Linked DNA regions of Rattus norvegicus. The protein of the gene in region 2 purifies or fractionates together with the protein of the main gene of each other region. This does not show direct contact. Links are inferred from orthologs where the notes say so. Each region holds a gene or a part of one and is shown on either strand. Other genes may lie near its edges. The genes, in order: Flna, Cttn and Asap1.

What was found.
Region 1: the proteins of Cttn (region 2) and Flna purify together in Homo sapiens (affinity purification with mass spectrometry; 3 studies listed by BioGRID and IntAct, with this or other methods). This does not show direct contact. The link is inferred for Rattus norvegicus from reciprocal best matches to the Homo sapiens genes CTTN and FLNA.
Region 3: the proteins of Cttn (region 2) and Asap1 purify together in Homo sapiens (affinity purification with western blotting; 6 studies listed by BioGRID and IntAct, with this or other methods). This does not show direct contact. The link is inferred for Rattus norvegicus from reciprocal best matches to the Homo sapiens genes CTTN and ASAP1.

Annotation. Positions count from the first base shown.
Region 1 is NC_086039.1:157,161,905-157,165,401, reverse strand, and holds part of Flna (filamin-A), read left to right. Parts: intron 1-424; coding exon 425-553; intron 554-746; coding exon 747-920; intron 921-1,017; coding exon 1,018-1,179; intron 1,180-1,403; coding exon 1,404-1,607; intron 1,608-1,686; coding exon 1,687-1,839; intron 1,840-1,952; coding exon 1,953-2,075; intron 2,076-2,163; coding exon 2,164-2,430; intron 2,431-2,585; coding exon 2,586-2,723; intron 2,724-2,939; coding exon 2,940-3,055; intron 3,056-3,497. UniProt on the Homo sapiens protein: Promotes orthogonal branching of actin filaments and links actin filaments to membrane glycoproteins. Anchors various transmembrane proteins to the actin cytoskeleton and serves as a scaffold for a wide range of cytoplasmic signaling proteins.
Region 2 is NC_086019.1:209,061,660-209,065,739, reverse strand, and holds the start of Cttn (src substrate cortactin), read left to right. Parts: upstream 1-1,223; 5' UTR 1,224-1,286; intron 1,287-1,368; exon of another isoform or gene 1,369-1,519; intron 1,520-4,080.
Region 3 is NC_086025.1:97,979,077-97,983,357, reverse strand, and holds the start of Asap1 (arf-GAP with SH3 domain, ANK repeat and PH domain-containing protein 1), read left to right. Parts: upstream 1-1,407; 5' UTR 1,408-1,495; intron 1,496-1,725; exon of another isoform or gene 1,726-2,171; intron 2,172-4,281. UniProt on the Homo sapiens protein: Possesses phosphatidylinositol 4,5-bisphosphate-dependent GTPase-activating protein activity for ARF1 (ADP ribosylation factor 1) and ARF5 and a lesser activity towards ARF6.

The DNA.
Region 1 (3,497 bases), on a different chromosome or scaffold from region 2:
TTGCCTCTTGTCCACTCCATCTTAGGTCCATGTTGCTATCATCTTAGGAAGGACAGGCTGGGGTGGGGTTATAAGTCAGTTAGTAGGGGCTGGGGATTTAGCTCAGTGGTAGAGCGCTTGCCTAGGAAGCGCAAGGCCCTGGGTTCGGTCCCCAGCTCCGAAAAAAAGAACCAAAAAAAAAAATAAGTTAGTTAGTAGACTGTTGGCCTAGCATACATCAGGCTCTGAATAAACTAGGTATCATGGCACATGCCTATAATCATAGCCCTCAAGGCAGGAGGATCAGAGGTTCAAGGTCATCCTTAGCTTCACAGTGAGTTCAAAGCCAGCCAAAGAAACATAAGATCCTATTTCAAAAACAAAAACAAAATGACTAGCACATGAATGAGGCTAGTATTCCATGTGGCTTCTATTCTGGCCACAGGAAGCCCTCTGCAGTTCTATGTTGATTATGTCAACTGTGGTCACATCACTGCCTATGGTCCTGGCCTTACCCATGGAGTGGTCAACAAACCTGCCACCTTCACTGTCAACACCAAGGATGCAGGAGAAGGTAAGGAGAAGCTCTAGGTTTGCTCTGTCCAAGTTGTCTTCTGTTGGCTGAGAGCTGTGGGGGGAGATGATCCTGAATGGAGTTTTCTACCTTACCTTCACAGCGCTGCTGAGCCATCAAGTCAACTCACTCACAAAGGTTCAACAATGTGTGCCTCGGCACATTTCTTACTCTTATCTGTGATACTTTCCAGGGGGCTTGTCTCTGGCCATTGAGGGTCCATCTAAAGCAGAAATCAGCTGCACTGACAACCAGGATGGGACATGCAGTGTCTCTTACCTGCCTGTGCTGCCTGGTGACTACAGCATCCTAGTCAAGTACAATGACCAGCACATCCCAGGCAGCCCCTTCACTGCCAGAGTAACAGGTAGGGAGCATCAGGAGGAATGACAGGAACAGGCAGCACTGGGGTATAGTCTCTTTGGGCTGGATCTATAGTGGCTGATGGCTTGCACCCTTACCAGGTGATGATTCCATGCGTATGTCCCACCTAAAGGTGGGTTCTGCTGCTGATATCCCCATCAACATCTCAGAAACAGACCTCAGCCTACTCACAGCCACTGTGGTGCCACCTTCAGGTCGAGAGGAACCCTGTCTGCTGAAACGGTTGCGTAATGGCCACGTGGGTAAGAGGTTAAGAGGCAGCAAGAGTTTCTGGGAAGGAAGGAGTGTGGTGATTACCTATAGTCCCAATACTTGGGAGGTGGAGGTAGGAGAATAAGGGGAACCAATCATTGGCTACATAATGAGTTAAAGACATTTTAGCCTGTGATACCCTGTCTTCAAACAAAGAGAGAAATGAAGGAGATTATGGGACTACACCTTGTTGATAGCCCTATCCTATGCCTAGGGATTTCCTTCGTGCCCAAGGAGACAGGGGAGCACCTGGTACACGTGAAGAAGAATGGCCAGCATGTGGCAAGCAGTCCCATCCCAGTAGTGATCAGCCAGTCGGAGATAGGTGATGCCAGCCGTGTAAGGGTCTCTGGTCAAGGCCTCCATGAAGGCCATACCTTTGAGCCTGCAGAGTTTATTATTGACACCAGAGATGCAGGTAAGCAGTGGTGGCTTGCCACTTGGGGCAATACAGCTTTTCTTGTCATTCTGGCTTATAGCTGCTATATATCTCCCAGGCTATGGTGGGCTCAGTCTGTCCATTGAGGGCCCTAGCAAAGTAGACATCAACACAGAGGACCTGGAGGACGGCACATGCAGGGTCACCTACTGTCCCACAGAGCCTGGAAACTACATTATAAACATCAAATTTGCTGACCAACATGTGCCTGGTTAGTGTGGCAGCTATACCCCTCCCCACCATGGTTTGGCAGCATTCCTGGACACACCCCAGTGCCCACCTGTAACTTGTGCAAAGTATGGACTCTACTTTTTTTTCCTACAGGCAGTCCTTTTTCTGTGAAGGTGACAGGTGAGGGCCGGGTAAAAGAGAGTATCACACGCAGGCGACGTGCCCCTTCTGTGGCCAATGTTGGCAGTCATTGTGACCTCAGCTTGAAGATTCCTGGTAAGAAAAATATCAGGAGGGTTCCTGGGGCAACCCTACATAAGTAGAGAAACAGGGTCCTGCTCACCAAGCTATCTTCTATTTGTAGAAATTAGCATCCAAGATATGACAGCCCAGGTGACCAGCCCATCAGGCAAGACCCATGAGGCAGAGATTGTAGAAGGAGAGAACCATACTTACTGTATCCGATTTGTGCCTGCTGAGATGGGGATGCATACAGTCAGTGTCAAGTACAAGGGCCAGCATGTACCTGGGAGCCCCTTCCAGTTCACTGTGGGACCTCTGGGGGAAGGGGGTGCTCACAAGGTCCGTGCTGGAGGCCCTGGCCTAGAGAGGGCTGAAGCTGGAGTACCAGGTAGGTGTACTTGTCTAATTATTGCTATTCTGGGTGGGCCAAGATGGGTGTTTGTGGGAAGTTGCCAGCAGGCATGTTGATCTTGGCTTTGCTTAGATTTGGCTGAGGCTGGGAACCAGTCCTCTGCTTCATGAGCTCACACTGCTTTTCTACAGCGGAGTTCGGCATTTGGACTAGGGAAGCTGGCGCTGGAGGCCTGGCCATTGCTGTTGAAGGCCCTAGCAAGGCTGAGATCTCTTTTGAGGACCGAAAGGATGGCTCTTGTGGTGTGGCCTACGTAGTTCAGGAGCCAGGTATTCGGGACAGAAATGGCATGGGTGGGGAGAGGTAGGACCTGAGTGTGGCTCTGTTGAACCCAGGTGTTACATGGTCTCCACTTGGGTCTTATTCTCCATTTTGAGATTTCAGGGACACCCAAGCTGACTGTGGGAGGCAAGAGGTTTTTCCTAGGCTAGCCTTTGGGGATATATGGCACCTCTAGTATAGCCTTATGTTTTCTTTCTGTCCAGGTGACTATGAGGTCTCAGTCAAGTTCAACGAGGAACACATACCTGATAGCCCCTTCGTGGTGCCTGTGGCTTCTCCGTCTGGTGACGCCCGCCGCCTTACTGTTTCTAGTCTTCAGGTGAGGCACTGAGAGAAACTGCCCATCTGGGGCTCCTGGGCCCGGCCAGACCAGAGTCACCATGGCAAGCAGGCCTTGGCCCTGAGCTGAGTGGCCTACCCAGAAACAATTCTGGATGGTAGGCTTCTGCTCTGGCCGGGTACAGCCCATGCTTGAGGTTGGCAGGAAGTGCCTTGCCCACTGCGTGGAGTTTTTCTCGTGTCTCAGGTCTAAAGGCTTTGAACAGAAGCCTGTGCCCATTGAGCACCAGGGCTGAGGTTTAAAGAGGGACAGCCTGTTAGAGCTAAGTGCTACCTATAGGGTGGGGGCACCTTGCTTTTCTGCTACCTGGGTGTGATTGCAGAGAACTTGTCTAGGGGATAGGAGGTTGGGGGTATGGCTGTGGCTTGCTGCCCTCACAGATCAATGGCTCTCCCTCTTTAAACCATGTTGGACACCAGAT
Region 2 (4,080 bases):
GAGACAGAGACAGAGAGAGAGAGACAAGGTCAGAGACAGAGAGTCCATTGCTGGGCTGATCTGGACGATACTGGCCTCTAAGTGATCCACCCGCCTCTGTCTTTTTTTTTTTTTTTTTTTTCCGGAGCTGGGGACTGAACCCAGGGCCTTGTGCTTGCTAGGCAAGCGCTCTACCACTGAGCTAAATCCCCAACCCCTACCCGCCTCTGTCTTATTAGCTAGCTTTGTATATAGTCCAAGAGCACCTGCCTAGGGATGATGTCACCCACAGTGGGCTGGCTCTCCTGTATCAAGACAATCATGTCCACAGAATAACCTGAATAAGACAAGTACACATTTGAGACTTTTTTTTTTAAAAAAAGGTGATTCTAGGCTGTGTCAGTTGATAGTACCAACTAGGACAGATGGATGAGTGAATGGATGGATAGGTAGATGGATGGTGGCAGGTGGGTGGATAGGTGGTATATTGGTTAGTTTTTGTCAACTTGACACAAACTAGAGTAATTTGGGAAGAGGAAACCTCAGTTGATGAATTGCCACCACCAGACTGGCCTATAGACAAGTCTGTGGGGGCATTTTCTTGGTTAATGAGTGATATAGAAGGGCCCAACCCACCATTGTGGGTGCCACCGGTACACAGGTAGTCCTGGGATGTGTAAGAAAGCAGGTTGAGCAAACCAGTAAGCAGCACTCCTTCATAAGTCTCTGTTTCAGTTCCTGCCCTGTCTGAGTTCTTGTCCTAACTTCCCTCCCTCAGTGATGAACTGTAATTTATCAGTTTTTCTCCCCGAGTTGCATTTGACCAGTTTTTTTAAAAATCATAATTAGGAACCAGATAGATGGAAGAATGGATGAACAGATGGATGGATAGATGAGTGGGTGGATTAGTAGATGAGCAGAAGGACAGATTGGTAGGTGGGTGGGTAGCCGATTGATAGGGGAATAGATAATGCTGTGTAGAGATCCATGCGTGGGTAGAGAGTTGCAGGGTGGTGGATGCATGGTTGGAAGCTGTGTTGAAGGTGAATGTGTGTTGGATAGGGGTTGGCAGGTATTTCTAAGTCGGATCTCCGCAGCAAGTTGGTGTCCAAGCCGCCGTCAAGTCCTGGAACTGTGCATCCTGCTTCCCGGATCAGCTAACAGTTAGGAATATGGGGCGGGGACGGCCTGGAATAGGGCGGGATCTTGCGTGGCCCCGGATGCGGCCCCGCCTCCGCGGAACCGGAAGTGAGCGGGCACAGGGAGCGGCGGGGCGCGGCGGGAGCCTGGCGGACCCTGCTGGTGCGGTGAGCGGGGGATGGGCGTCCTAGGGAGCTGCTGGGGGACAGGAAGGGTGTGGGATGATGAGTTGTCAGGGTACAGGGCCTGGACGGGAGGTTGGGGTACAGGGTTGGGACCGGGACCCAGGGGATCCGGATGCGGGGCCCAGGGGTGCAGGGCCAGGATCCGTGTATCGTGCCTCGGGGTGTAAGGCTTGGACCCCGGAGTCAGGATTCCAGGCCAGGACCAGGTGTTCTCGGTGTGGGGCCGGGATTGTGACTTGGGGTGCGGGGCCGGGATCGGGTGTCGGGACCCGGAGTGCAGGGCTAGGATCGGGGGTTGGAGTACAGGGTTAGGATCGGGTGACTAGGGTGCAGAGCCAAGGCCAAGGGTTCGCGGTGTGAGGCCAGAATCGGGGAGTTGGGGTGCATGGTTATGGTTGGGGTGCGGGACTGGGATTCGGGGTTCGGAGTGCAGGGCCAGGATTGGAGACTCGAAGTCCCTGGTCGCAGGGTCTGGATGAGAGCATCGGAACCCCAGGATCGGAGGTTTCGGACTCCAGTGCTGAGCCGTTCATCCGGTCATATGTGGAGTATCTAGGGGTTCCCAGCCGGTCAGGCTCTGAGGGGGCGGGCCCTAGGACACAGGCTCTAGGAATCCTGGGCATAAAGGAAGGGGTTGGGCTCCAGAGCAGGATCCCAGGATGAAGTGTGAAGTAGGTTTGGGGTGTTCTAGGTCAGAGTGCATAGTTATGGGTCTGTGTTAGTCCGAGCACCAGACCCCAGGAAAGGAATGAAGACCTGAGGCCTTGGAAATGCTGGTGGGGATGAGGAGACTTCGGTCCTACAGTCTGGTGGAATGATGAGGACCTGCGGGAAGTTGGGGAGCCTGGGGTTCCAGAACTCAGTGGAATTATGAGGGTCTGAGGGCCTGTAGGAAGTTGTTAGGCTGGACAGCCATGTTCCAGAGCCTCCTAGGATTGGTCACTAGCCCTCTGGGCTGGGCTGAGAGGCCAGCATCTGAGGAGGGGCCTGGGCACCTGAGGGAAATTTGCAATGGGGTCAGTGGAAATACAAGCTTCTAGCTTGCATCCTGGAGCTAGGGAGCCTGGAATCCAGCCGCCCCTCCTCCTGGGTTTGTCCCCAGTCACTGCAGAGGTGTTTGGGCCTGGTCTTTCCCCCTCCTTCCTCTTGGTCTGCATGAGGGATGGGGACTTGTGGGCAGGGAGAAGAAATTCCATTTTGTGCTCAGTGAAGCAGAGGCTTTAGTCCTTCCTAGTGGTTTTACCTGGCTGCACTGACTGGGCCTTGTCAGTAGCTGGAGATCCTGTAAGTCCTTACACCCAGTAGACCCCCACAGTCAGAACTTACAGGTCCCCTGTCCACCAGGGGCCAGGCTGATAGGGATCTGAGAGCCGGCCTCTGCTGGCTCACCCAGAGTGAGTCACCAGTTCAGGCCCTGAGTCAACACTGCTTCTCTACTTGACTGAGAAGGTTTTCACCAGAAATTTGAAGGAGAAGCAGCTTTAAGTGGGAACTTCAGATGTAGAAGATTGCAGAGGTGGGGTTGAAGAACTGATTCTGGTACTAGGTCTCCAGAGGCTTCTTCTTCTGATGGCATTGAACCCCGGGCCTTGCAAGACAGTTTCTCTACCCAGCTTTAGCCATGGCCCTAGAGCTGACCTTTAATTGAGGCCTTGTGACAGTCGTGCCTTCAATACCTTATAAATGCCAGAGAATGTAATTGGCCCTTCAGACCTTTAGTCTGTTACTTGGGAAGCCACTTAGTGTAATTCAGCATCATCCTGAGTGTCCTTACCTCTTTGTGCCCCTGTTTTTTGTCCTGGGCATGGTAGTAACTGCCTACCACCTGGTAGTCCCGCCTACCAGGACTCTTAGTGGTGTCCTGGGCAGGCTAGCCTACTCGCTCTGTACACAGTTTCTTGCTGGCCTCAGTAGGCATGGGATAGGGGTTGCCCTCTCTACAACAACTCCCGACCCAGCCACCTTTGCTCTGCTGTGCTCTAGGTATCAGGTTCAGGGCCTCAGGATGGCGGATTCTTCCATCTTGTGACTGGGTCCTCTGTGGCCGAGCTTCCTGCTGGCTGTGTGGGGCTGAAAGGCTTTCCATTTGTTTTCTGAGCTTTTGTTTAGCTTTATTGATATAGTTCACCCCACACTCGATTCCCCGATTAAAGGGTTCGTTCAGTGGTTATCTGTGTATTCAGAGTTGTCCGCCCATCACCACAGACCGTTCTGGCCTTCTCAGAGATCTACATAGAACACGCATGCCTGGGGTCCCAGTGGCTGGGAGTGCTAAGGCAGAGGACCTTGAGACCGAGGAGTACTGACTAGCCTAGGCAGCAAGCCTGGAGTCTGTCTGTGTGTGTCTGTCTCTCTTTCTGCTCCTCCCTCCCACTCCCTTTTTGGTGATGGCTGGGATGCATTTGAGATGGATCTCTGTATCTTTGTTTAACCTGAAACTCACTGTGTATACCAGCTGGCCCTAGTCATCCTCCTGCCTCAGCCTGAGTGTTGGGATTATAGGCTGTGGGCACACACTACCAGGCTGGGCTGCTCTGCTCTGTCCTTTAGAAAAGAAAGAAACTGGATATCTTAGCCTTGACTTTCCCCTGATTAGTTCTCCTCTCAGCTCTCCTCCCACACCACCCCCACATCCCATTTGCTGGGGATCAAGTGCAGGGCCTTGAACACACAAAGCTGTATTCCACCCATGAGCTCCAGCCCTGCCTTTCTCCACCCTGTCTCCATTTCCTTTTGTTTGTTTTGAGCTGAGGTCATTCAGTTGAGCCCCCCCCCC
Region 3 (4,281 bases), on a different chromosome or scaffold from region 2:
TAGGGGAACTGTGAGGGCCCAACTTCTGCTCTGTGATTTATCTGTCAACTTCAGACCGGTAGAGGTTCTTTCCCAAATGTAGATAGGATGGTAGGTGAAGGACAGGAATCCCTGGTTGGGTTCCTGGAGCCCAGCTTGGAGTTTTTCCTGTGACCTGTAACCAGTGAAAGTGTTGGAGAAAAGACATGCATTTGGCTGCCAAGCACAGGTCTGTTCGTCCTTGGGAGACAAGCTGGTACCCAAGTTTCAGTTCCCAGCATGTTCACTTCAGTTCTCGCTTGTACGCACGTGGTCCTTCCTCTAAATCTCGGAGTCAGAGGAATCTGAAACACTCAAGCAAAACCACCAAACTGCAGCCTACAGGTAAAATGTGGCATTTCCTGGGGAAACCACAATGAATCACTCCCAATGGCTGCCCAGACTCCCCTGCTGGTTCTCTTAAACCTCCAGGGGCATCTCAAGGCTTATTAACATGCCCTCCCCGAAGTCTCCCACCCTCAGGTTAAAAACAAAATCTCAAATCTTGTGAGTCCTGGTGAATTTCTAATTTCACCAGAAAAGGGTCTATGCAGTGGCTGACCTTTTCTTCTACAGACAAGACTCAAAGAAAAACAATCACCTGTAATTAAGGAGAAACTGACACCCTTAGGCCAGACCTGCCCCTGAGCTGTGTAGGTCCACACAGACATGCAGAATACACACCCTACAAGTTAGAAGCCTCCTTTCTCTGAAGTCTCTAGATTGCAGCAATACCCAAGCATGGGTATCACCGATGTTGCCAACATCCCTGTCTAAGCATCTTGTTTTCAAATGAAGACTATGACACTCCTTTCTTATTTGAGAAACTGAGGCTTAAGGAAGAATCATTTGCAGGAAAGAGGAAAAGGCCATTCTCCAACCAGGCTTCAGAGACCGGAATGTGCGATATGCCAGATCATCAGTGTGGTGTGCTGACCCAAACGGTTTTCCCTCCAGGCACTGGGTAAAAAGATAGAAATCGACGGGAAGGAACAGGCGAAAGTAGCCTAGGAGAAGTCATGGCGGGATGGGAGAGGCCACAGTCTTCTGGTGTCCTAGCTTTAGCAAGCCCCACTTCAAGGCCAAGGTTCTCTGTTGATAAGCCCCACCTCTGCTCTCTGTGGCCAAGGAGGCCCACCCCATGCATCTCCTCCTGCACGGTCCTACTCCTGAGCCCTGAAGTGTGCCGGCTGGCCAAGGGTTAAGCGCGGCGGGAGCCCCCGGCGCGGGGCAGCGGCGGGCCGGGAGTGCTTAGTCAGGATTCCGATTTCCTGCTGAAGTGTTTGGATTTCCTGCAGCCCGCGCCCGCCGTCGCCGCCGAGCGGGCTCGAGAGAGCGGCTCCGCGTCGCCGGCCTCCTCCTCCTCCCCCTCGGCACATGGTCACCCGCCCCTTCCTGCGCCGCGCTCGGCTCCCGCGCCTCGCCCGGCCTCGCCGCGCCCGTGATGGAATAATGCCCAGCGGCCCGCCCGGTCCCGGTGAGTGGCGAGGCGGCGGGGCGGCGGGAACAGGCGCGGCGGGGCGTTGCACGGCCACCCGGACACCCCTGTGGGCTCCGGGTGTCCCCGTCTGCCCGCAGAGCACCAGCCGGGGGCGTGCGGGGCGCGCGGCCGGCTCTGCAGGGGTTGGCGGGGCGGACCGGGAACTCCGCTGCCGCAGCGCCGGAGCGCGCGTTCTCCTGTTCCGCGGAGGCGACTCCGGTTGGGGGCGTGCGCCCAGGGCGCAAGGCTCCCAGCTCAGGGAGGAGGCCCGGGCAGCCGCTGGGGCGCTCTCGGAGTCCGCTGGGGCGCTTTCTCTGTCCTCCCGGGCACTCTCCCCTCCCATCGGGGCTCTCCCTTCCCTCGGGCGCTCTCCCGGCCCTCTGGGGCGCTTTCCTTCTCCTCCCCGGCACTTTTCCCGGTTATCCCGGGGCGCTCTCTGAGCCGCGCGGCGGGGAGGCGCGGGCTTTGGCCGCCGCATTGTCTCTGGCGCAGCGGAGGAAAGTTCCCCTCGGCGTGGGTCCCGGCCTGGACATGGCGCTGCCAGGCAGGCCCCAGACCACTAAAAGCAAAAGAAGCCGGGAATGGGGGTGGTAATCCCCCGTGGGAACCGAGAAGTGCCTTGTGTCTTCCGCTTGTACAATTTTGGAACCTGATGCTTTTTATGAGAGCAACAGTAAGTTTAAACGAAACGGGGGGAAAAAGAGAAACTCGCTGGTATCTGGTTTTCTACTGTTTAATTCATCCAGATACATCATCTCGCGCCCTCGTAGGGCGGGTTCATTTTATCAAGGAGAGGCTTAGCTAAGTCTAGACCAAGTTAACTTGACCTTACCCTTAGCATACTGATGCAAAAGACCATTTTCCTCCTTGTATCGACTCCATCAGGTTGTTTTAGCAGAATTGATTCTAGGATAGCAGTGATACAGGATTGCTGAGTAATGTTTTGAGACTGTAAAACACAGAATTTAGTTTTTAGGCCAGTTTCATGTCTGTTCTAGCCTGAGTGGCCAGGTCTTCTTGCTCGGCCACTAGAAGGCCTTTGGGAATGGGGCTGAGGGGGCCATAGAAGAAAAGAATCTCGGAAAACAACTGTTTTCTCTTTTAATGTGGAAGAGTTTCAGAAAGAGACCTGTTTTGTCTAAGGACACAACTACTTGGTGGCCTGGCTGGGAATAGCTAACTTCCAAGTCTATAAACTCTGGGGCCTGGCCTCTGTGACTATGCCAGATTGTGATCTGCCAGCCACAAGTGTTACTGTGTCTCTCAACGGTCTCCACTTTAGCACCTTCTCCTGTTCTCTTATCTGTTATTGCCGCCGTTTTAGAGACATGCAGTTATCTCAAAGAACATATTTTGAGATTAGGAGTTTAAAAATTACTGTTTAGAATGCATAATGATTTTAAGTACTCGAAGGATGATTTTAAGAGTTAGCAAAAGAGGAAAAGAAAGAAAAAGAAAAGACATTGTCCAATTTCTGTTCACTGATGCAAGTGGATTTGGGATTCAGCTACCAAATGGATTTGAAATGTATAGTGGTAGTTGTTATATGGGGAATTGCTTTTCTCTAGTCTTCCATTTTTTTTTGTTTCAAACAGACAAACTCCAAACCGGCACTGTCTTGACATAGAATGTGCTGTTGAGATTTTCAGAAGTCTCGATTCTGAGTCCTCCTCTCTCTCTGAGCCAGGCAGCCCACCTAGTTTCCTCTTCTTGAAAGCTGAGTGGCTGGCTTTTCATTTTTAGTATGTGATAATGTTGGAGAGAAAGGACTTTTTCACAAGCTTGCCATTTGGTGAAGGAAATTGAAATTCCTTACACCTCTCCAGTCCTCCCCAACCACAGCCAGATAGATTTTCAATACCAATGCAGGCCTTGCAGGCTAGAGATGAATGTGTGCATTCAAGCCTAGCCTTCCTAGTCTGGGCCCTCCTCCCAGCTGGCTGCTCCATGTTGTTCCCAGGTGGCTGCGGTCTAGGGGAAACGAGAGCCCCTTGTACCTGTGCTTTTCGTGGGTTTTCCCTACCAAGGTCTCATTGTGTCTGATGGGATCTTCCTGGTCCCTTTACATTTTCTCCTCCCCTCTTCTTTTTCTCTCACTGGTGTATCTGATATGGGCTCCAAGGGCTTTTCTAGAAATCTGCACAAATGATCCTTACATAAGCGATGATGACAGTGACACTAAGCACTTGTTGCGTGCTCTCGACTTGTTGCCTCCTAAGAAGGACCAAGAGAGTGTTAGGGAGATGGCTCAGTGGGGAAGAGTGTTTGCTGTACAAGCATAAAGACCTGAGTTCAAATCTCTAGCATGCATGTAAAAAGCTAGATGCCCTGGTAAATCCACACCCACTGAGTGAGTGGGTGAAGACAGCATGGTTGCCTTGGCCTAGCTTTAGGTACAGTGAGAGACCCCATTTGATCCTGTGTTCACTCCTTGGTATGTGTACTCAGGCAGATGTGCACATGTTCTCTCTCTCTCTCTCTTTCTCTCTCTCTCTCTCTCTCTCTCACACACACACACACACACACACACACACACACACACACACACACACACGGGTCCCCCAAAGAGGGAACTCCTTGGAAGTCTTTCTCAGAAAGGACAGCCTTTCTCAAATTCATGTGGATTGAGTCATTCTTGTATGCAGTAAACATTTGCTAAGTGGCTCCTCTGTGGGAGGTACTAGTCATACAAAGATGAATAGCACCCTGTTCTCAAGGCCTCTTCTTTTCAGCCTCATCTTTCATTGTCAGGATTATGCTCTTTCATTTAATTAATCAATTCC